2 linked regions of the Notamacropus eugenii genome follow. The protein of the gene in region 1 purifies or fractionates together with the protein of each later gene. This does not show direct contact. Links are inferred from orthologs where the notes say so. Each region holds a gene or a part of one and is shown on either strand. Other genes may lie near its edges.

The links.
Region 2: the proteins of PPP2R2C (region 1) and CCT5 purify together in Homo sapiens (affinity purification with mass spectrometry; 4 studies listed by BioGRID and IntAct, counting the BioPlex papers as one, with this or other methods). This does not show direct contact. The link is inferred for Notamacropus eugenii from reciprocal best matches to the Homo sapiens genes PPP2R2C and CCT5.

Annotation. Positions count from the first base shown.
Region 1 is NC_092877.1:59,217,333-59,227,997, forward strand, and holds the start of PPP2R2C (protein phosphatase 2, regulatory subunit B, gamma), read left to right. Parts: upstream 1-6,382; 5' UTR 6,383-6,527; coding exon 6,528-6,543; intron 6,544-6,759; exon of another isoform or gene 6,760-6,764; coding exon 6,765-6,845; intron 6,846-10,665. UniProt on the Homo sapiens protein: The B regulatory subunit might modulate substrate selectivity and catalytic activity, and might also direct the localization of the catalytic enzyme to a particular subcellular compartment.
Region 2 is NC_092875.1:359,481,369-359,491,693, forward strand, and holds the start of CCT5 (T-complex protein 1 subunit epsilon), read left to right. Parts: upstream 1-6,033; 5' UTR 6,034-6,147; coding exon 6,148-6,252; intron 6,253-10,325. Other genes in the region: ATPSCKMT (ATP synthase subunit C lysine N-methyltransferase), read right to left, coding at 4,606-4,729, 5,671-5,763. UniProt on the Homo sapiens protein: Component of the chaperonin-containing T-complex (TRiC), a molecular chaperone complex that assists the folding of actin, tubulin and other proteins upon ATP hydrolysis.

The DNA.
Region 1 (10,665 bases):
GAAGTTCTTAACTTGGGGTGCATGAATTTTTTTAAAAATAATTTTTTGATAATTTAATTCACTGTTTTAAAGTGGTTTCGTTTGTAATCCTGTGTATTTTACTTTAAGAATTTAGAAACATAATTCTGAGGAGTCCATAGGCTTCACCAGCCTGTCATGAGGGTCCATGCCTCAAAAAAAGCTGAGAATGCCTGCTATAGGTGCACCTCCCCCATAACAGCAAAATGTTGCCTGGCCTACTCCACAGAGGGAGCCCAAGGCTAATTACAGTCTGTGACTGATTACAGTGTCCCCATGTAGCAATTGTCTTTGGAAACATTAATTTACAACTCAAGAGATTAGATTTCTTGGCAAACAATCAAAATAGCTTGGAGTCATAGAACATCAAAGCTAAAAGACACCTCATTTAGAACATAAAATGTGAGAGCCAGACCCATATAGAAAACACAACGTAGAACACAGAATGGGAGATACCTAAGAAAGCTTAGAACATAGAATGTTGGAGATAAGGGATCTTTGAATGTGGAATTTTAGAGCTAGAAGAGATCTAAGAATAGTTCTTACTCTTTTTTTATATCCTAGAACCCTTTGGCTGTCTGGTGAAGCCTACAGACCCCTTCTCAGAATGTTTTTAAATGCATAAAATAAAATACATAGGACTACAAAGGAAACCAGTTCTCTTGAAATACAGTTTTCATAATATTAAGAAAACAACCAAAATCTTATAAAAGTGAATGTTGAAAATGAATCTTTACATGTAATTGGAAAAAAATTAAAATACTATGAAGTGGAAAAAGAAAAAAGAAAACAAGTTCCTAGCTCCTAGGTTAAGAATCTGTATCTTAGATTCAAAATACAAAATATCAGAGATGAATGGCACCATGGAGTTTATCAAGTTCAGTTCTTTCATTTTATAGAGCTTCTGTAAATTGAGCCCAGAGAAGGAAATTATCTTACTCAAGATCATACAGATAGTGCCAGAATAAAAGCAAGATACTCGAATTATTATTAAGATGATACAGTGCTTTAAAGTTTACAAAGCTTGTTCTTTACAACAACCCTGTGAGGCAAGTAGTGTGGATATTATTATTATACCCATTTTACAGATGAGGAACCTGAGGGTAAGACATGAAGTGACTTGCCCATAGACACCCTAGTAAGTGGTAGAGGATGTATTTCAACTTGTCTTCCTGAATCCAAGTCCAGTGCTAGCCCAGCTTAGCCCAGTGCTTTTTTCCATGGCAAAGATTCCTGTTTTCCTGTTCTCATTATAATAAGCATCTCTTGTCTTCTTCTTGAGAACAGATGTCACACACACAGCCTCAATGCAGAACCTTGGCCCTGGGACTTGACCACTGCAGACGAAGCCCCACCTGCTAAGCTGGGAAATGGCCAGTCGAAAATGATACAAATTGGACACATTCTCCCCCATACAGCTCATGACGTATGTTTTCCGGACTCATCCCAAGTTAGAGTAAAGCTGGGGCAGAAAACCAAATCTACTGACTCTGTGAAATGAGGACATGTCTTTTCATCTCTAAGCACCAGCCCTTTGGTATTTCTTGTATTTTTATTCAAATTGGGAACATTAGTGTTGCATTTAATTTGGAAGAAAAGCCAATTTGGCAGAGTCTCCCTCTGACAGCACTCAGTACTAGTAACCTAAGTAACATCACTAAAAAAAAACCTAATATAGTATCCTAGTAGAGAGACTGCCAAAACATAGTTCTGGCAAGAAATGTAATTCTCTTTATTGTAGTTTCCCCCTACTTCCCACCAACCTCACTCAGTTGTCTTTTCCCTCAAAAACGCTTGGCCCCATTAAAAGTTTTAACCCATAAGTCCTAGCTTTTATTTCTCTTCTTCCCATTAGGGTAGAAAATACCCACAGTATTTTCTTTCTTTCTTGCTTGACTCAAACAGTTCAGGAATTCTACTCACTTTACACCTCTAGACTCCCTTCACTACCCCCCCCCCCTTTCCTCCCATCTTTTTCTATGCTAACCTTCTACTTCATTGAAAATTAGAACAACTTAAGGAGACTTTTTTTTTGGAAAGTAGGATTATTAATAATAACAAAAACCATTTCTAGATCACCTCAAAGTCGACAAAATGATTCCTTTACAACAGTTCTTCATGGTAGGGGGTGCACATATTAATCACTACTTTACAGATGAAGAAACTGAGGCCCAAAGAGGTGATATAATTTGGCCAATGTCAAACAGACAGGGTCAGTAAGAGTTGGGACAGAACCCAACACCATTGTTTCTATATCCAGTAATCTTTCCACTATACCAGGCTGCTTACAGATTCATTCACTCAACGCAGCCTTGATAAGTACAGACCAGTTATCCTGCTATCTGGGGAGTGCAAAGATAAATAAGATACATTTTCTGAATATACAATCTAGTTTTTTTCTGTTGTCTTGAAACTTGTGATTTTAATCTATTAGAGGCAACTAGGTGGTACAGTGGATAGAACAGAGGGTCTGGAGTCAGCAAGATGTGAATACAAATCTGGCTTCTGACACTAGCTGTGTGACTGCCTCAGTTTCCTTATCAGTAAAATGGGAATAATAAGTACCTACCTTTCAGGGTGGTTTGAGGATTAAAGGAGATTATCTGCAAAGTGCATAGCACAGTGCCTGGCACATAGTAGGTACTATATAGTCATTGCTATTATTTTTGTTAATTATTATTGTTATTTTTGTTCTAGAAAAGGACCATGACATCAGAGAGATGATGCCATGACATGCAGGTGAATTGGATTTAAGTGAGGGAGGGCTGTGCAAAGTCAGCAGCCTCACTTTCTCCTTCAGAGTCACCTGGGTCCAGTGGTGAGATATAGATCCGGATGACTAGAGAGAGCCCTGGATGCAGTAGGACACCTTAACCTTTTTAAAGATTTTTAAGAGGTCTCAGTTTGATAGTGGCAAAGCTCATTCAGTGATTAAGGATAGGTAAGGTATGAGGCAGAAAATGGTCTCTTTTACCTAGAAAAAAAAAATCTGTCTGGGAGGAGAAGCACCTCAGGGTTTCTGGCCAAAACAGAAACAATTGCTATTTACATTCACACTGAGCCAATCCCTGATTAATTATTATCTATATAGTGAACTCCCTAGCTAAGATCAGCAATTCATGGTCTTGCCTGGGACTGAGAGATTAAGAGGTCTTCCCAGAATCACACAGTACTTGTAAATAAAAGGAGGTGGATTTTTCTCCAGGTTTTCCTAGGTCCTAAAGCTACCATACCAAGCTACTTTTACAATCTAGTAAAGAAATAATAACAATTTACCCTGATATAGCATAAGGCTTACAAAGGCATGAGGGCAGGAGAAGAAAATAGGAAGTTTTGGTAGTGCAGTGGACATCACTGTTTGACTAGAGCATAAGGTCAAGAAAAAGGAAGCTTGAGGTTAGAACATAGTTGGGGGAAGGCTTTGAATACCAGGCCAAAGACTCTTAAACCATTTTAACAAAAGTGAGAAGTGGGAAGTCATTTTGAGTCAAAGAGTGAGAAGACCAGAAACGTGCATGTTAGGATTGTTATTATTTGGGCAACAGTGTGTAGGATAGTTTGGAGGAGAAGAGGAAGAGAGAAAGTTAACTGTACCATTGAGAATTTGCCTTTAGGGAGTGGGAAAGGGGACCACTGGCCAAAGAGGTTGAGAAAGTCAGGAAAGCAAAAGCCAAGGGAGTGAAGAATTTCAAGAAAGAGGGAGTAGAACAATGACAAATCAATCCATCAACCAACAAACTAGCATTTCTTAATAGTTTATCATGTGCACATAATAAACATATGCTAAGTGCCGATGAGATAGAGAAAAAGCAAAAATAATTCCTACCCTCAAGAAGCTTATATTCTAATGAAGGAGACAAATAAATACAGAGCAGATGGAAGATAGCCTTAGAGGAGAAGGCCTTAGTAGGAAGTGGGGGAGGTAGACACAGGAGAGAGATAAAGGAGTTTAAGGCCTGGGATCCACTAGAACCTTGGAGTTGGTGATTAGTCATTTTGAGAGCCACTTTAATAGAGTGATCTGGAGGAAACCAGATTGTTACTGTGACCCAAATCTTTATGCCCAAATTGCCAATTTGCTTATGCTGAGGTCCATCCTCTTCCTATTTTCAGACTAAGTTGTTGGCTGATGAAAAACAAGATATTGTAAATGCTGTTATTTCCCTCCCTCTTTACCCCAGGACTGCTTTGAGAATGTAGTAGCAAGGTCCTTTGTCTATTTGAAGAAATGACTCCATCAGAGTCTACCCTGGGAAAACAAAAATTAATAAATATAGAAATTAATAATAGTTGGCTTTAATAATTAATTACATATGATCAATATAAGCAACAATTAATTAATTACCTAATCTCATTAGATCCTCAGTGGTTTGTTTCTTTTGCCCTCTTGTCTCAGGTACCTAAGTGCCCTCTTATTCTCTGCTCTCTTCACCTTCCCCCATCAAAACTTACTCAAAAGCCCAAGTTGGGCATACTTTGGAGGCAAAGGGACGTAATGGGAAAACCTTGCTCTTAGAGTCCAAAGAAGGCCTGAACTTGCAGCTGCAATGATCAGTCACTAACTCTGTGACATTATACAAGTCACTCAACCTCTGGCCTCAGTTTTGTCATCTGGAAAATTAGAACAATAATATCTACCTACTCACCCAACCACCCACATCCCTACTTCCCAGGGCTGTAATGAAGGTGTTTTGTTCAAGGGCTGCAGAGATGAGCTCTCCTTGGAAAGACTCTGAGAAGCCAATTTTCACAGAGGTGAAGACATAACTGATTTACTTCTCAAAGGCATTTACATTTTAAAAGAGGACAAATGCTCTGCTTCATTTCAAAGAAAAAAAATCTGATAGAATAACAGTTCTGGTGGAATTTCAGTCATCTAGGAGGCAGTGGTGAGGATGTTTTATCAGGGGGCAGGAGGCCCTTCCAGCCACCTTATAGTCACTTAAAATAAAGGAGACAGCCCTGGAATTAGGCAGAGGAGAAACTAGGCTTGGATCCTGGTTTGGGAGTTTGCTGCATGTTTGATTTTGGATCCCTCTCAATCTGTTTCCTTATCTTAAAATATTTGGATTTGGTGTTCCCTTCCAGCTCAAAATTCCGTGGTCCTAATAAACAAATGTAGCCAAGGACCTTTCCCCTTTTTCTCCCCAAGTCATCATGGATCCTCTTCCTTCTGATGCTCCGTCTCTCTTTCCTTCCATTGCCTAACCCTCCTCCCGGCACTGGAGCTTTCTGAAAAACTTGGTGTGCACCATACCTGCTTTCCTCAGCAAGCAGCCCAACATGGATATGAAACAAATTCTCCTGCCCCGGGATCATTCCTGGCATTCCTATCTTGTCTGCCCCCTCTCTCTGCTCCCAGAACTCTGTGAGCCAGCCCTACACGATGAGTCAGGGAAAGAGGGAAGAAGGGGCTCTTTATTAGACAGCCTTAGATAACACATGGGAGGTAATATCCTCCCCTGTCATGCACCCCGAGGTCAGAAGAAAGATTCCCTCCGTTTCTCTCTTTCTTAAGGAACTTGAGCCAGAGAAATCAGACTCATCAAAACAAACACGTGGGCCAGAGTGGCATAGGGTACCCATTTCTGTGAAAGTTGCCAACCAGGTGCAGAAGATTTTAAACACTAAGCCATCTCCCCATAACTTAAGTCTAGGAAGGAAGAAAAGAATCCTTCCGGGGCTTGAGAGCTGGAAAGGTTCACCTCTTTTTACCGAGGCACAACCTGACTCCGCAAGACAGGGAGTCGAATCCAGGTCCTCTGACTTTAAAGCCAGGGTTCGTTTTCCTACCTCCCTTTGCTTCCTGACCCCAAGATGCCCTGCTAGCTTTCGGCTACTTGTCATTCCTTCTCCACACTCCTAGTTGGCAGAAGAGGGGATAAGGGCAGGGGGCGGCGGAGTGATGATCTTCGGGGTCCCTAGTTTTATTTCTCCCCAGGGGAGAGGTCATGGAAGGGTCGCTTTCGCCCCCTTCCCCCGCCCTGACTCTCCTGAGATCCGAATGGGTACACAACCATCCATCCACCTGTTGGGGCTTGGCTCGAGCTAAGAATGACAGCGAGCAGAACCTTGGAGACCCCAGGCAGGCGCCCAGGCTCCCTCCCCGCCCTCCGGGCGGAGCCCGAGCTGGAGTGGAGCCGCCTTCCCTGCCTCCAGCCTTCCCCGCCCTCCTCCGCTTCCTCCCCCGGGCAGCTGCTTAGGTCTGCGCTGCCCGCCTGTACCACCCAGCTCTGCCGGGAGGAGAGGAGGGAGGAGGACGCGGAGGAGAGGGGGAAAGCTAGGAGGAGGAAGGAGAGGGCCAAAGCTGGGAGGAGGTGGGGTGGAGGAGGAGGAGGAGGGTGAGGGCTGCCAGGAGGAGGGAGAGGGCTGGCAGCAGGAGGGGGAGCAGGAGCAGCGCCTGGCGCCCTGCGCGCCCACCCCAGGGAGCCCTTGGCTCCGACACCGAAACAACCTCGGAGCGCACTCCTTCTTGGCCAACCCTCCTGCCAGGAGTCTCCGGCAGACTCATGTCACAGAAGCCGGGTTAGTTAGCTGCTGCTTTTTTCTTTTTCTTCTTCTCTTTTTGCCTCGTCTTCCCCGCCCCTACCCCACCCCCTCTTCCCAGCTGATGCTCCCCATCCCACCCTTCCCTCGAGCCCTCCCAGCCCGCCTGCCAGCCTGCCCTCCGCAGCTGGGGGCCAGAGGCGCGGGCTCCTAGCCGGGTCTAAAGTTACTGACTGAGCTTTCCCTTCTCTGTGTGCTAGTTGGCGGCCCCCCAGGCGAAGAGGAAGTTGACTGGTGCTTGTATCAGCTCAATGGGACAGCCGAGTTTGAAGTCTCCGAAGGTAAGGGACAGTAAACCCAGCTCACTGATAGTGGAAGCTAATCTCGACTAGCTGGGGCTAGGCTGTGGTTCGCGGGAATTCTCTCAGGGTTGGAGAGTGGGAAGGCGGGGAGGCCGCGCCTACACGGACCAGGTCAGTCTTGGAGCTCCTGGTCACCCTGAAAGGTTCTGGTGGTGTCCTCGTCTGGTCAGAGTGGCTCAGATGGAGGTGTGTGTGTATGTGGGGGGAGGGTAGGAGAGGAGGGATGGATGGAAGAATGGGGAGTGGTTGGGAGAGGTGTTAATTTTGGGTTGGTGACTGAAGAGAAGTACTTAGCTCCAGGAGAGTGAGTATTAGAGACTGGCAACAGGATTTCAGCTGCATTTGATCCTATGTCCGAGTTGGAACCAGAGAGGAATGGGTGAATGATTTTTTTAGTCTCTCCAGGCCATATTTCCGAAGTGGTTTGGGGAATCGAGAGATCGAGAGACCTTGCCAAGCAGCACTAGAATTGTGGACTATTTTTATTTGGGCTACCTGCTTTCCTGTGAATTACACTAGTCACTTTTCCTTCTCCATGTCTCAGTTTCCTTCTCTGTAAAATGAGAGGGTTGAACAAGGTGATCTCCTAGGTCCCTTTTAACTCTAAATCCTATGAAGGCCAAGAAATTACATTTGGAGCCATAGGGTCATAGGGCTTAAAGTGTCTTGAGATCATCTTGTGCACTTTACTCTACCCCTTACTTTACAGAAGAGGGAAACTGAGGCTCAGAGAGGGGTGGTGCCTTGGCCAAAGTCAAAGAGACAGTAGCTGAAGGAGGGGCAGTTGAAAGAGAATGTGTAGATAAAAATAACATGACCCCCCTCTAAAAAAAACAACCAAAACCCCAACAATCTGTTTTCTGCTGAGATTTGGAAGAGAATGTGGGATCAGTGGGCAGAGATACTAAAAGGGCTTTCCAGATGGCAGGAACTGCTGAGAAATTTCTTACACCAATAGGGGCAAGATTGTGTGGTCAGACAGAACAGAACAGTCCTTAGAAATGGAAGGATGATTCCAGGCATTTGAATGCTGAAAAGTCTTAAAAGGAAACTCCATCTGTATGCAACAGTGTGTTTCCAGGCACTGAGAAACATTTATTTATTTTTTTTTGCATCGTCAGCTAAAACAGGGAGGAGGAGAGATTATTGCTGGAAATTAAAACCTTTTTTTGACAAGTATGTAACTATCCAACCTGGTTTCATGTACTATGAAAGGTATGGAGTCCTCCCTCTCCCCCTTGAAAGGAACTTTTATTTGCAAGGCTATGTGATCTGTTTAAAATTTTATTTCTATGGACTTCATTCACATTTAAAAGTCCTGCTCCTTTGTGAGACTGCTTAGGAAATGCCTTCTCCGTTTCCCAACTCCTACGCAGTACAATGACATAACATCGGGATTCATGATGGAAGACTTCAATGTTATGTTTTTCAAGTTGACATTACCTTAGACACAGCTCAGGAGAGACTTTCATGTGAAGGAACAAGGTGACCATCTGTAGTAAGCTCCAAGTAGAGTTTTCTCTTTCGTAGTCATAGACTTAGAATTTCTGAGATGGAAAGGAATGAAGGGCTTATCTAGTCTAACTCCCATGCAAAGTATGGATCTTGTCTCTAGCACTTCTGACAAGTCATCAGCTCACCTGAGGAACTGTGACAAGGACCTCTCTCCAACCTCCCTTGTGTCACCCTTTCCCTCTTCTCCTCCCACCCCCATCACTTTCTGTGTTTGAACAGATCTAATTATTAGAAAAGAGGGTTAGCTGGTATAGTAAAAGTCAACTGACCTTGGAGTCCGGGGAGACCTGAGTTCAAATCCTGATTCTGACATTGACTAGCTGTTGGATTCTGGGCGACAAGTCACTCAACCCCTGAGCTGTAGTTTCTTTACCTATAGAAAGAAGGGTTGAACTAAGTGATCTCCAAGGTTCTTTCTAGTTCAAAACTTATGAGCCTCCGGTGATCCTTATACTGAACTAGTTTCCCTTCCTGAAACTTCAGCCTATTGGTATGTCTTGTCCTTCAGGACCAAGCATAAATTTAATCCTTTCCCCACATATAGCCATTAATAGACTTTAAGGCACCTCTCATGGCCCCTTCCCCATGTCTTTTTTTCCTGGGCTAAGTATCCTCAGGGTTCCTTCCATTGTGCAGGTGAAAACCACAGTGTGTCTTTTGTAATGCAAAGAACACTGTGCTTTAACCCCAAACCTAACCCATATCAGGCTCAGTGGAATGAATTGGGGCTCTGGATCCTAAATAAGAGGAGACCAAATGGAAATATCATAGCTCTTTTCAAATATTTGCATGTGGGATCTGACCTGTTCTATTGGTCCTCATGTGGTAGAACCACAAGCACTAGATGGAATTAGTAGAAAAGCAGATTTCAGCTTGATTTAAGGGAACACAATCTTAATTAGAGGCATCCAAATTTAAACAGACCGCCTTGACTAGAAGTTGATTCTTTCCTCATCTAAGGTTGTCATATGAAGGCTAGAGGACCACTACCTAGAGATGTCACTGAAGGATTCAAGGGCAGCTACTGCTTGAACCAGATGGTGTATGAGATGAGATGATGTGTGAGATCCTGCAAGATGCTGGTCAAGGACAATGTTTTGCTGGCTATGTCAGTGAAATAAGATTATAGGATTTAGAGTTGGAAGGAAACTTAGAGATCATCAAGTCCAATCTTCTAATTTTACAGGTTAGGAAACTGAGACCTAGCGCAGTGAAATGACTTGTTCACCAACACAGAGGCACCAAAGTAACAAAATCAGCATTTGAAGACAGACCTTTTTGACTCTAGATAGGCTTTCCCATAATTATACTTTCCTTTTATACCTGATGCTTGTTTTCCCTTGTCACTTTGTTGGTCTTAATTATTTTTGCAAAACTAAGTGGGTGGGATTACCCTTTAGGTACCAAACAACTCTTAGAGATGTTCCAAAATTGAGTGGTTTGGCTTAAGAGATACTGGGTTCCCTTCCTGAAGGTTTTCAAGGGGATACAGAATGATCACTTGCTGGGAAGGTTGTAGAGGTCTGGTGGGCATTGGACTAGCTAACTTCCGAGGTCCCTTCTAACTTAGAGATGTTGAGGTTCCATGACGTTGCATTCCTACAAAGAAAGTGTTTACCAATGAAAAGCTTTGTTCATCAAGATAATAGATTTCTCTATGGGCCTTCTTCTAGAAGTTTTGCTTAGGTTCTGAGTATCATTCTTCCTGAGGTCATTGTCAACTTCAGAGTTAGACTATAAACTCCTCAAATGCCCTGAGGGATAGAATTGTTCTCCTGTTTCCATTGTGGCTTCTCTAGCCTTCTTTTTCGCTATGGGCCCTAGTAAATATTGGTAACTCACAAATGTTCTGTTGGTAGTTACCCAAACACTGTGAGATGCTGTGTTTTAATGAACTTAATAGTAGTTTTGTTGTTTGTGTGTATATGCGTGTATTTTCTTTTTCAAACAATGACCCCAGAGAAGATAGCTATGAATACCTGGTAATGAAATCTTTTAGAACTGATTTTGTTTATTTGTTTTTAAAGCACGATTTTTTTCTGAAATTCTAAAATTTTTTAGCCACTCAGGACTGATGTCCATGATTCTATGGTAATATAAGCAGTGGACAGCTAATAACTGGCAGATTGTGTGTCTATTTGAAATTTTGAAAATTTATAGTTTCTGACAAATTCTCTGCCTATTTTGTTCTCTCTTTGGGTGTTGGGAGGGATCCTTTGCCTTTGGGCTAAAAAACTCTAATGCAGATTCACTTTCCATAAATAGTTTCCTGAATACATTGGAA
Region 2 (10,325 bases), on another chromosome or scaffold:
CAATGATACATATAACATGCTCAACAAACAACATTTTGATGCAATGAAAAAACCTGACTGATTCCAGCTATCAGGTAAACAAGTAAATCACTAGATAGGAAGAATGCCCAAGTACAATCTTACAATCTGATAATCACCATTACCAGCAGGCAGGAAAAAAAAAACCAAAACCCTGGTACTAATACTTTTTATCATATATGGACAGCACTTAATACTTTTAAAATTCTTTCACATAAATTATTGCATTTGGACATTGATTTGAACTTCCATTAATAAATAAGGATTCATCAATTCATTTCTTAGATTCGGGTCCTATATCCTAAGATTCAGTTTAGCAAGTTACTTCCTGACTACTGTATCCATGGCATTCCAGAAGAGATAAAAAGAGTAATCAAAAAACAGAATGAATTGAAAGGAAGAGATACTTGAATCAGAAAGATCAATTAGGAGATTAAGTGCAATACTAAATGAGAAATTATGACTTTTCTCCTCAAAATTTCATATAGTACTCTATTTCATACCTCTAATACACATCATATAATACTTTTTTTTTTAAGCTATACATCTTTTTGTCTTATTCTTCTACTAAACTTTAAGTTTCATGAGGACAGGGGCACCTTGCATCTTTCCCAGAACTTAAAACATAACTGCACACAGCAGGTACTTAATGTTTATTGAATATTGGTGAATGATACTGAATGAATCTCAAATTTAAGTAACACAAAATCAATCAATAAGTATAAAGAATATTGACAATGTGAAGTACAAGTAGACAAGGGTAATAATATAGCTGTTTTGAAGTATCCTAAGAGATATAGAAAAGGAATCATCTTTATCCTGGTTGGATCCTGACAGCAGTAATGGGAGCAATGAAGTGGAAGATTTAACGAAGGGGCAGATTTAGTGTAAGAAAAAACTTCTCCCCAAATTAGAGTTATCCAAAAGCAGAATGGGCTGCCTGAAGAATCAGCCATATCCCCATAAATAAAAGTTTTCAAGCAGAAGCTGAGTGACCACTTACCAGAATATTTGTTATATTAGGAACTTCTATTCTGGATTAGATGACCATCAAAATTTCTTTCAAATCAGATTCTGAAATTTTGTGAACTTCCTGCCATTTTCAAGTGACTAAAGTTATCCCTCAAGGTAATTATATCTAACTACTTCGTCTAAGAAAATTCTAGACTCTAGAGTCACTGACTCCGCTTTTCACCCAGTGAATAAGGTTTCACAAATGATATGCAGGCAAAATGCTTTCACTTCTTATTTGATAGGTAGGAAACTATGAAGCTTTACATTCACTTGAGTTGTTGATGCTGGGACAAACAATACCGAAGGGATTAAAGACACCAAAACTAGCAACATTACCTACATTCTCTCAAATTTCTCCCTAAAGCTTATACCTCTCTTTTGCATTTTTCTCCTAGTCAATCTTATATCAGTATCTTTCTTCAACTGTAAACTCCTTGAGAGTTTACTTGCAGCACAGTACCTAGCACATTTCTTATGACTGAGTTCTCCAAGTATATCTTTTGCAAGGATCAAAAATCCACCATTTTGCCCTCCATCGCTCCCCATTCCTATCCCAATAATAAACAAAACCTTTGTAACAAATACAGTCAAGCAAAATAAATTCATACATTGACTATGTCCAAAAACACATATGGTCCTTCAATTTTCTATAGTGCTATACCACTTATCTGAACCACTTCTTTGTATTCATCACATTCTACCTTGTGGCACTTTTGTTCATTCAGAAATGTTTAGTAAGACACCTACTGTTTAAAAGTAATGTACTAAGGGATAGGGGAAATATGAAGTTTAAGATAAAATATCCTTTATACACATCAAATTTACAGTTTAGAGTACACATTTATGTACATGTCTTGCCTATTAAGACTGTTAAGTTCCTTGATGGCAGGTACCGTGTTGTTTTTAACACATCTTTGAATCCCCAATATAAGACAATACTTAAGAATTTACTGAATATATTAATCCACCAAATTTAATATTAGCTATTTTTTAAGACTGATCCAAGGAATAAAGACGCTGTCTCCAGAAGTATAATCTAAGAGTTTGTAGAAAGATATCTTGCAATTTAAAGAGATATAGAAATATTCCCAAGGTCAGCCAGACATTAACAACAATTAAAGAATATTTTGCTATGGGAAGTAGATATGCCGGTTCATGACTTGATGATTATGCCTATGACAGCTGTGGGGGAAATAAGTATATCAGAAACTTAGTCCTTTGACTAGTGCTCATCTGGGATGTATAACTCAATAAATTAGTGGAGGAACCAATACAGAAAATGCTCAAACAAGTCCTACATCCCAGAACAGGTGTTTTCATACATATGTGTATGTGTGTGTATATAGACAAAATACTTGCCAAATGATTTAATGATCTTCCTCTCCTCTCCCTATCCTTGTGACCTCATATATAACACTTTAATATACAAGTCTCTCATGCATGTTATTATAATTATTTGTATGTAGTGTTCAAAAAGTCTTTATGGGCAGTTTAAGCTATTAGAACTATTAGAACAAAAGCTTTAAAAAAAGCTTAAAGTTTTTAAATCTTAATGCAAGTTTTTTTAAAATTGCACTATGATTTCTGGAACACCCTAGAGATATTATATAACCCTAATAGCCTGTTACTATTAATAACTGTGCCATAATGAAGAATGATGGATAAAGAGAATCATGAAAAGATTTACATGAATTCATCTCTGCCTCCTGGTCTCCCTGGCTTCCTTCAAGTACTTCACTACTAAAAGCTTACCTTTTAATGGAAGCCTTTCCCAAACCCTTTTAATTCTAGTGCCTTCCATCTGTTATTTCCTATTTTTCCCATCTATGGCTTGTTTGTTCACAGTCTCTCCCATTAGACTGTGAGGTCCTTCTGGGTAGGTGTGTTCTGCCTTTCCTTAAATCTCTGGAGCATAGCATAGCTCCTGTCACACAGTAGGAGGTTAATAACTAAAGCAGTACTAAAGCAGAGGTAGGGAAAAAACACACAATGACTGCAGACAAGTAAACAGAGAATAAATGAATACTGTGAAATTATAATGACCAAGTTTGGCCCCCAAAAAAGAGAAATGAGAAGGTACTTCCCCAAACCTTCTTTGTAGAGGGAGGGAGCTATGATTCTGGCACATTGCACACACTGCTACCCTTTTTCAACATATTGATTAGTTCTAAACGGTTCTTCCCCTTCTTCCTTATATTTTATTATGAGAAATGGCTCTCTGGGAAGAGAAAGAAGAAGGAATTCAGTAGAAAATATATGCTATGAATAAAACATATCAATGAAATTTTAATTTTTTAAAACGTTTGCAGAATTGAACTGAATTATACAAGTGGAGGGCAAAATTGGAATTAAGGGCTATTGAGGTCATGTCAGTAGGGCTACAAACTTGAGACTCACCAAAAGCATCAAACATATCCTAGACATCTTGGTGAACACACTCTCCTAGGCTGACTCTATGACTAACCTTCTAGGGATAAGACTTACCTAGGATTCAAACCTACTCTGACCCCGTGGGAACTGTGTTTATTAGGAGACATAAAAAGCTTCCAAGCGTACTTTGTTCCAATTCAATAAACACTAAGTGGCCATTATCATAGTCTTCTGTCTTATGTTCCCATCTGACCCACCCCAGGAAGCAGTGCTTCTGAAGTTGAGGGCCCTGCTGCCTGAGTACCAAGCCCTGAATCATTATCATTTTACAGCTTCAGCAAAGTGCCTGCCACATAGGAGGGCACTTAGGCTAGTTGGCTGACTGACTTCAACCTTTTTGTCCTGGATCCCCTTGGTAAATTGGTAATGCCCATGCACCCCTTCTCAAGAATATAAAATACATGGAATTACAAAAAAAAAATCGTTATGAAAATATATTTTTTTAAAAACTTAAGGATCTCTGATGCTCCAAGAGGAAAAGTGACCACAGTGAGGAAGCTAGGACTAAGACCCAAATATTCTCCTGACTTCCAGTCCAAAGCTCTTTTCAAATATGTTTGTGGTTTTAAAAAAATCACTCAAAAGTACCAAACTAAAAATCCCCTTGCACTCTGGGATACTTGATTTCTATTACATTACTAATTTGTGAATCCACAGAAAATGTAAATTCAAAGCAACATGCCACTAATGAGACTATTAAGCCACCCTAAAGTCCTAAATGGGAAACCACACTGACCCTCAAACTTATCAAAGTTTAAAGCGTCGTGATGGGTCCGGCCCATGGGACCTGCTGAAGCACGAGGGCAGCGCAGGATGACCTCTCCACTTGCTTTATTTCATTTCACCAACATAAATCACTACGGGTTTGGCTCCATCGGTTAACATGCATTTATTAAGAGCTTACGTGATGCCAGGCACTGGGATAAGCTGGGGATTCAGGCCAAGTCAGTAAACATTAAGTGCTTGATAATATTTAATATATATTTTAGACTTTAATAAGGGCCAAAGTTTGAATTAAGAAGAGCCTGAACCTAACAGTCCCCTTTGTTTAACTTAGAGGATGCCTTTTGATGTCAAGCAAATGGGACTTCCTTACCAGACCCTTCTTCTAGCATCCTAGTGGTAAGAGAAAAACACAGATACCTTGGGTTGTAACTTCAGCTTCCTCAACTCTGTTAAGATGAACAACTTCCAAGGCCTGTTTAGGACAGGATGTCTGAAATCTGGGTGATGGGACTTTTTCCTTATCTTGAATCACAAAGGCATGCTACGGAAAGAAGATGCCCATAGCTTGGGATCATAAAACCCAACCGATGCTGCTTTGCTTACAGTGTGTTTATCTAAGAGAACTCCTTTCTCATGGCAAAATGTATATAGGCCAGAAGATTTCTGTACTGGGGAGCCAGCACATCTTTCTGGCTCCATAATGCATTATGTTACCGGTTTCTTTAATAGGGGACTGATTAATTAATTAAATCATAAAATGTATTTATTTAGCCTGCTGCCTTTTCTTTAACAAAGTTTTCAGGTCAACATGCTTAATACGTGCCCGGCACCACCCTGAGAGCAGGGCACGCACAAAGGGCAACAGGCAGTCCCTGCCCACAGGGAGCTCACCATCTAGTGGGGAGACAACCCACGAACAAGCTCTGCGCGGAACAAATAAATTGTTAACAGGGCCTGGGCACGGCGTCCTGAACCTAACAAACGCTGAATCAACGTTCTTAAACCGAGCGAAGGCTCTGCCCTCACCGGAGCCTCCCACTCCTACAGCGGAGACGCGTTAAGAATCAATGGGGAACCGGAGGGGATGTCGGGGGGACGTCGAGGGGACGTCGGTGCTCCGCGGCCGGGGATCGGGGCAGGGGAGTAGACAATCGAGACCCACTGGCTTTCAAAGGAAGCCGGCAGCTACGCGTTAATGGGCTCAAGCTGCCCCCCAATCCCGGGCCCCGCGGCTCGAGCCCAACCCAGTCCGGAGCCGTTTACGGCCGAGCGCGCTCCCAACGGCCACGGCCTGCCACGCGCACCCAAGAGAGGAGGGAAGTCGAGGCTCCCCACCCACCCCACCCCCGAGCGCAAGGAGGCGCCGCCACACTCGTAGCCAAAGCAAAGGGTTGAGCGAGCACCCCGCCCTCCTAAACTGCCTCCCGCCGGCGGTGGAGCCTGAACACGCCGGGATACCCGCCGTCTCGCTACTGGCCTCACCTCCTCCTCCTCCTCCTTTCCCCATCGCGAGAACTCCGGCAGCCGCTGGAAGAGGCACGACCATCTCCACGGGATAGGTAGGGGAGTCGGCATAGGAAAAAGACTTTAGAAGAGACAACCTATTTATTCTGCCTCAGTATCCAGATATTTCGGGACGCTTTCAGGTTTAGGGTGAAATAAAACACTTTGTCTCTTGGGAAAATCTGTGTTCAGGGGAAGAGATTTCAATCAGTCTTTGGCAGCGTCTTCAAACCTCCCCCCCGCCATTTTCTACATAATGGTTGTCTCCAAGGGTTGCTGATTCCAGAAAGTGCTACCTGGCGTGAAATTAGTCTCGATCGAAAAATAAATCACAAAGCGTCAACTGCGCCTGCGCAAAGCGCCGAAACACCGTCAGTCGCGAGAGCGAGCAGTGGTTTCCCTCCTACTTAGTTCGTCTCTGCCGGTTGCTGGGAGGGATTCCTTTCTAGCTGGACCATGTCTTCCATGGGTACTCTGGCATTCGACGAATATGGCCGTCCTTTCCTCATCATCAAGGACCAAGAGCGCAAGTCCCGCCTTATGGGACTTGAGGCCCTCAAGGTAACGGGTCCCGGAATCGTTGGCACCCGAAAAACGGGAGGCCCCGGGAACCGGTGTCTTCTGCGCGTGCGCAAGGGTTGGGGAAGGGTTCCGCCATGTGCTCTGGGGAAAGACCGAGAAGTTCTCCTTATTCCTTATTCTCAGTGAGCTCCCTACCCCGCTCCAGACTCACGCGTGACCCTTCCCCACCCCCCGCCCCGATCTCCAGAAAGAGGAGCTTCCTAGGCCCTTCCCAACAGCGAGACCACAGTGGTTACTGGGTTTACTGAGGGTGGGACAGTTTAGAAGCTGATATTTTATTAGATTTTATCTAAAAGAGAATAGCATTACGTTTTGGGAACTTAGACCTTCCACTGATCCAGTTTTTGTGTTTTTATGTCCTCTGCAGGGTGTATCTAACAGCTTAAAACTGTAGTAAGACTGTAGGGACACCTTATGAATAAAGATTTATTGTAGACTTGAGCCGTATTCCACAGGTAACTATAGTCATTTAACCGAAACGGTACCTTCTGGGTACCCTCCCCTGGATCCCACCAGTGTACTACTGTCGGTAATCCTTACATATTTAGTACTTTAAAGGTGTGGTAAATAAAACAAGCTCCTTGGCCTTAGTGGATTGAGCTCGTGATGGAGTGGGGAAAACGTGTGTGTGTGTGTAAGATTTCAGCAAGGTGTAGGAAGAGAATAAAACAAGTCAGGGAGGCAACAGAGCATCTAAAAGAAACAAGGAGTAGATTAGTTTGAAGGGATGGGCTATAAGGGAAGTGGGAGGATTTAATTCTGGAAAGGTAAGGAATCAGTACTTAACTTTGCTAGGTTTTCAGGAAGTGTATTTGTGGATTATTTTAGCATAGTACGCTGGAGGCAGGAAAAACCTCTCAGGAAGCCAATTTATTTGTATCCCTGTGAGAAAGAATAAGGATCTGGATTAAAGTATTGGGAGTAGGAATAGAAAAGGAGGTGATTCCAGACAAACTGTAGGCTTTTTATTAGCCGTGATTACAGCTTTAAAAGCTTAAAAAGATAGGGGCTATGCTGTCTTATCTACAAAGTAAGTGCACTTAGATGAAAAATTGAATTTACTTTGTATAATGTTGCTTACCTAATGCCATCATAGATGCTGGATAATTGTTAGGTTTTGCAGGAGCTTTTCAAAAGTTGAACCTTAACTTGAGAGGAATAGATCTTATATTCAGGATGGACTGAGTTCAGGTTTTACCTGTGGCATAGTGTAGCCTACTTTAAAATACCCCTGTTGCATAATTATGGACTTATGAGTATTCTTGTTTTGTTATAATTTGCCTTTGGAGATAGGTTTTGATAAAAAGAAATAGTGAAATTCTTTTGAGTGAAAGAAGTTAACTTAGGCAAATTCCGTTATGGAATAGGAACTTGAGAAAATGTTCATGTTAAAAAAACAAATAGTTCCTTGTATCTTTAGTATTAAGCATAGTATTAAGGTATATTGTAAGAATTGTATGTATATTTTCATAGCTCTTATTGTCCTTCAACCTGTATCCCACTAACTACCTTCAGTTGTAACAATGCTTTTGGGTCTGTTGACCTTTAATTAAGCTTGATACAGTCTAGGCATCTAACTGTTTTCAGCCAATTTTCAGGCTATTAAATAAAGTAGGCTGAGTCCCAAGCAGTTAAGTAATGTAGGCTAGGTGGCCAAGTAGGTAAGCATGCCTAGGCCTAGAGTCAGGAGGACTCCTTCTAAGTTCAAAACCAGGCAGGGAAGCAGATGCAAAGTGGTAAAATAGGTACATAAAATGGTGACAAGTAAGGTAAACTTTAGGGTATTGACTTCATGTTATTTTGATATTGAAATAAGCCATTGATTAAATGAACAAATACTGAAACATTATTCTAGCATAAATTTCTTTTCATCTTGCATCCATTAATAGGGCAGCTAGACTAGGCCGCGTAGTAGATAGACTGCCAGACTTGGAGTCAGGAATACCACAGTTCAAATCTAGCCTCAGATACTTACTAGCTTTATAACCCTGGGCACATTATTTAACTCTGCCTCAGTTTCTCATCTGTAAAACAAGCCGGAGAAGGAAATGGCTGACCACTCCAGTATCTTGACCAAGAAAACCCCAAGTTGAGTTACTAAAGAATTGGAAATAACTGAATAACAAGATATAGACAAACCTTTTCAGACTTATTCTCGATTCTAGCTAGATATTAATTCCAGGGAAACAATAGTGAATGAGCAAAGAGGGATAATATTATGCAAGTCCTTATAACATCACCCAGATTAGGCTACTTCAAGAAAAATTAATTCAGTGATGTGAAAGTAATGACCTTTATTTAATCCCTCTCTGCTCCTCATTAAAACATCAGTCCCTAGGTAAAAGTTAAGGAATTTACCTTTTTCTCCAAAAAGACTGAAATAAGAAACAAGTAAAAATATCAACTTATCACTGGCTTCTTTTTTGAGTTAGATTCTTGGATATTTAATGGCCACTGCCTCAAATATTTTTACAAAGGGTAAAGATGGATCAGAGATCTCGGTGTGGGTATGTTCTCAAAGTGTGGTCAGGGTCCCCTAAACATCCACATAGTCAAAACTTTTCATCATAATACTAATATGTTAATTTCTAATGAGTAAATATGGCTAGACTGTAACTCATAGAAGCTGGGGGAGAAGGGAGGATGAGAGCGCTTTGATTTTAAGAATGAGGGGCTCCTGAAATCAAACGAAAACCACTGATCTAGAGTAAGTTCTTAACTAGAGGTCCATAGATCTTTCTTTGGGTTCAGGAACTTGGATAGGGGAATAATTTTATCTTCAATACAGTGAAACTGGCCTCCTTGCTCAGATAAGGCAGTCCATCTCCCAAATCCTGGCTTTTTCACTGGTAGTTCCCTATTCCTGGAACTCTTCTTTGCCTCTTCAGCTCTGTCCTTTGTCTTCACTGGCTCCTTTCAAGTTTCATTTAAAGCCCCACCTTCCACAAAAAGACTTTCTCAGTCCTCCTTAGTCTTAGGAACTGCCCTCTGAGATGATCTTCACTTTTTCATGTCTGTGTCTTGTTTGTACATACTTGTTTGTATGTTGTCTTCTGCATTTGACTGCAAGTTCCCTTGAGATCAGGGATGATAACTGGTTTTATTTTCTGAGGGTTTTTTTTGGTTTGTTTTTTTTTTTTTTTTGCTCCTTTGTATTCCCCCCTGCTTTTTGGAAAAAAAAAATTTCCATCCTTTTTTGAGGGGGGGGCAGCACTTAGGTGGTTAATAAGTTGTTGTTGACTTGGAGTGGGGGCTGTTTTTTAACCTGTAACTGAGATACATTGTTTTCTTCACTTCTGAGAAAGGATTCATAACATGGAGCCAACAACCAGAGGAGTCCATGGGCTCCACAAAAAAGACTAAGAACCTGTGATCTAGAGGAATGATTGAAGTCTCACCTGTGTGTTTGTCTAATGTATTTGCCTTCCAAAGACCCTTATTGTTGTTGGATAAAAATGAAAACCAAGAGTGTGGCCCATAAAAGGATTATAAAATGGTTTGAAATAGGGAGACATGGAAGATGACTATTGTGTTGGAGTATCAAGTTGTCAGGATGAAAAGAAAAGCACTTGTATTTGAACGCTCACAAAGGTTGTAGTGAAAAATAAAATTGTGTATATCTTTGGTGCAGAATTAGTTGATTTTGCTATTGGGGCAATGGTTATACTGGTTTGATTTCATTCTCTTAAATATTTAGTGATTGTTTTCTACACTTGATATAAAGGAAATATACGCATAGTCCTTGTCCTCCATGATCTTAAAATCTAATGGAGATGAAATATTTGCAAAAAAAAAAAAGTATATCGTAAGGCAGCAGTGCCATGAGTTAACAGTCTAGGTGAAGAAATAGTTCTGATTATTTCTGACCTGGAATCCAAAAATTCTGCCTAGAGGTGCTTATTTATTTAACTTGACGTTGAAAAATGGTCATAGAGTTTCCATTAAGAGATAGGATAGTGCAGTTTTTCTAGATAGAATGTGTATCACTAACAAAGACAGGAAAGAATAGTGGAAGGGATGTCTTAAAACAACAGGTAGGCTATAGTAGGGGA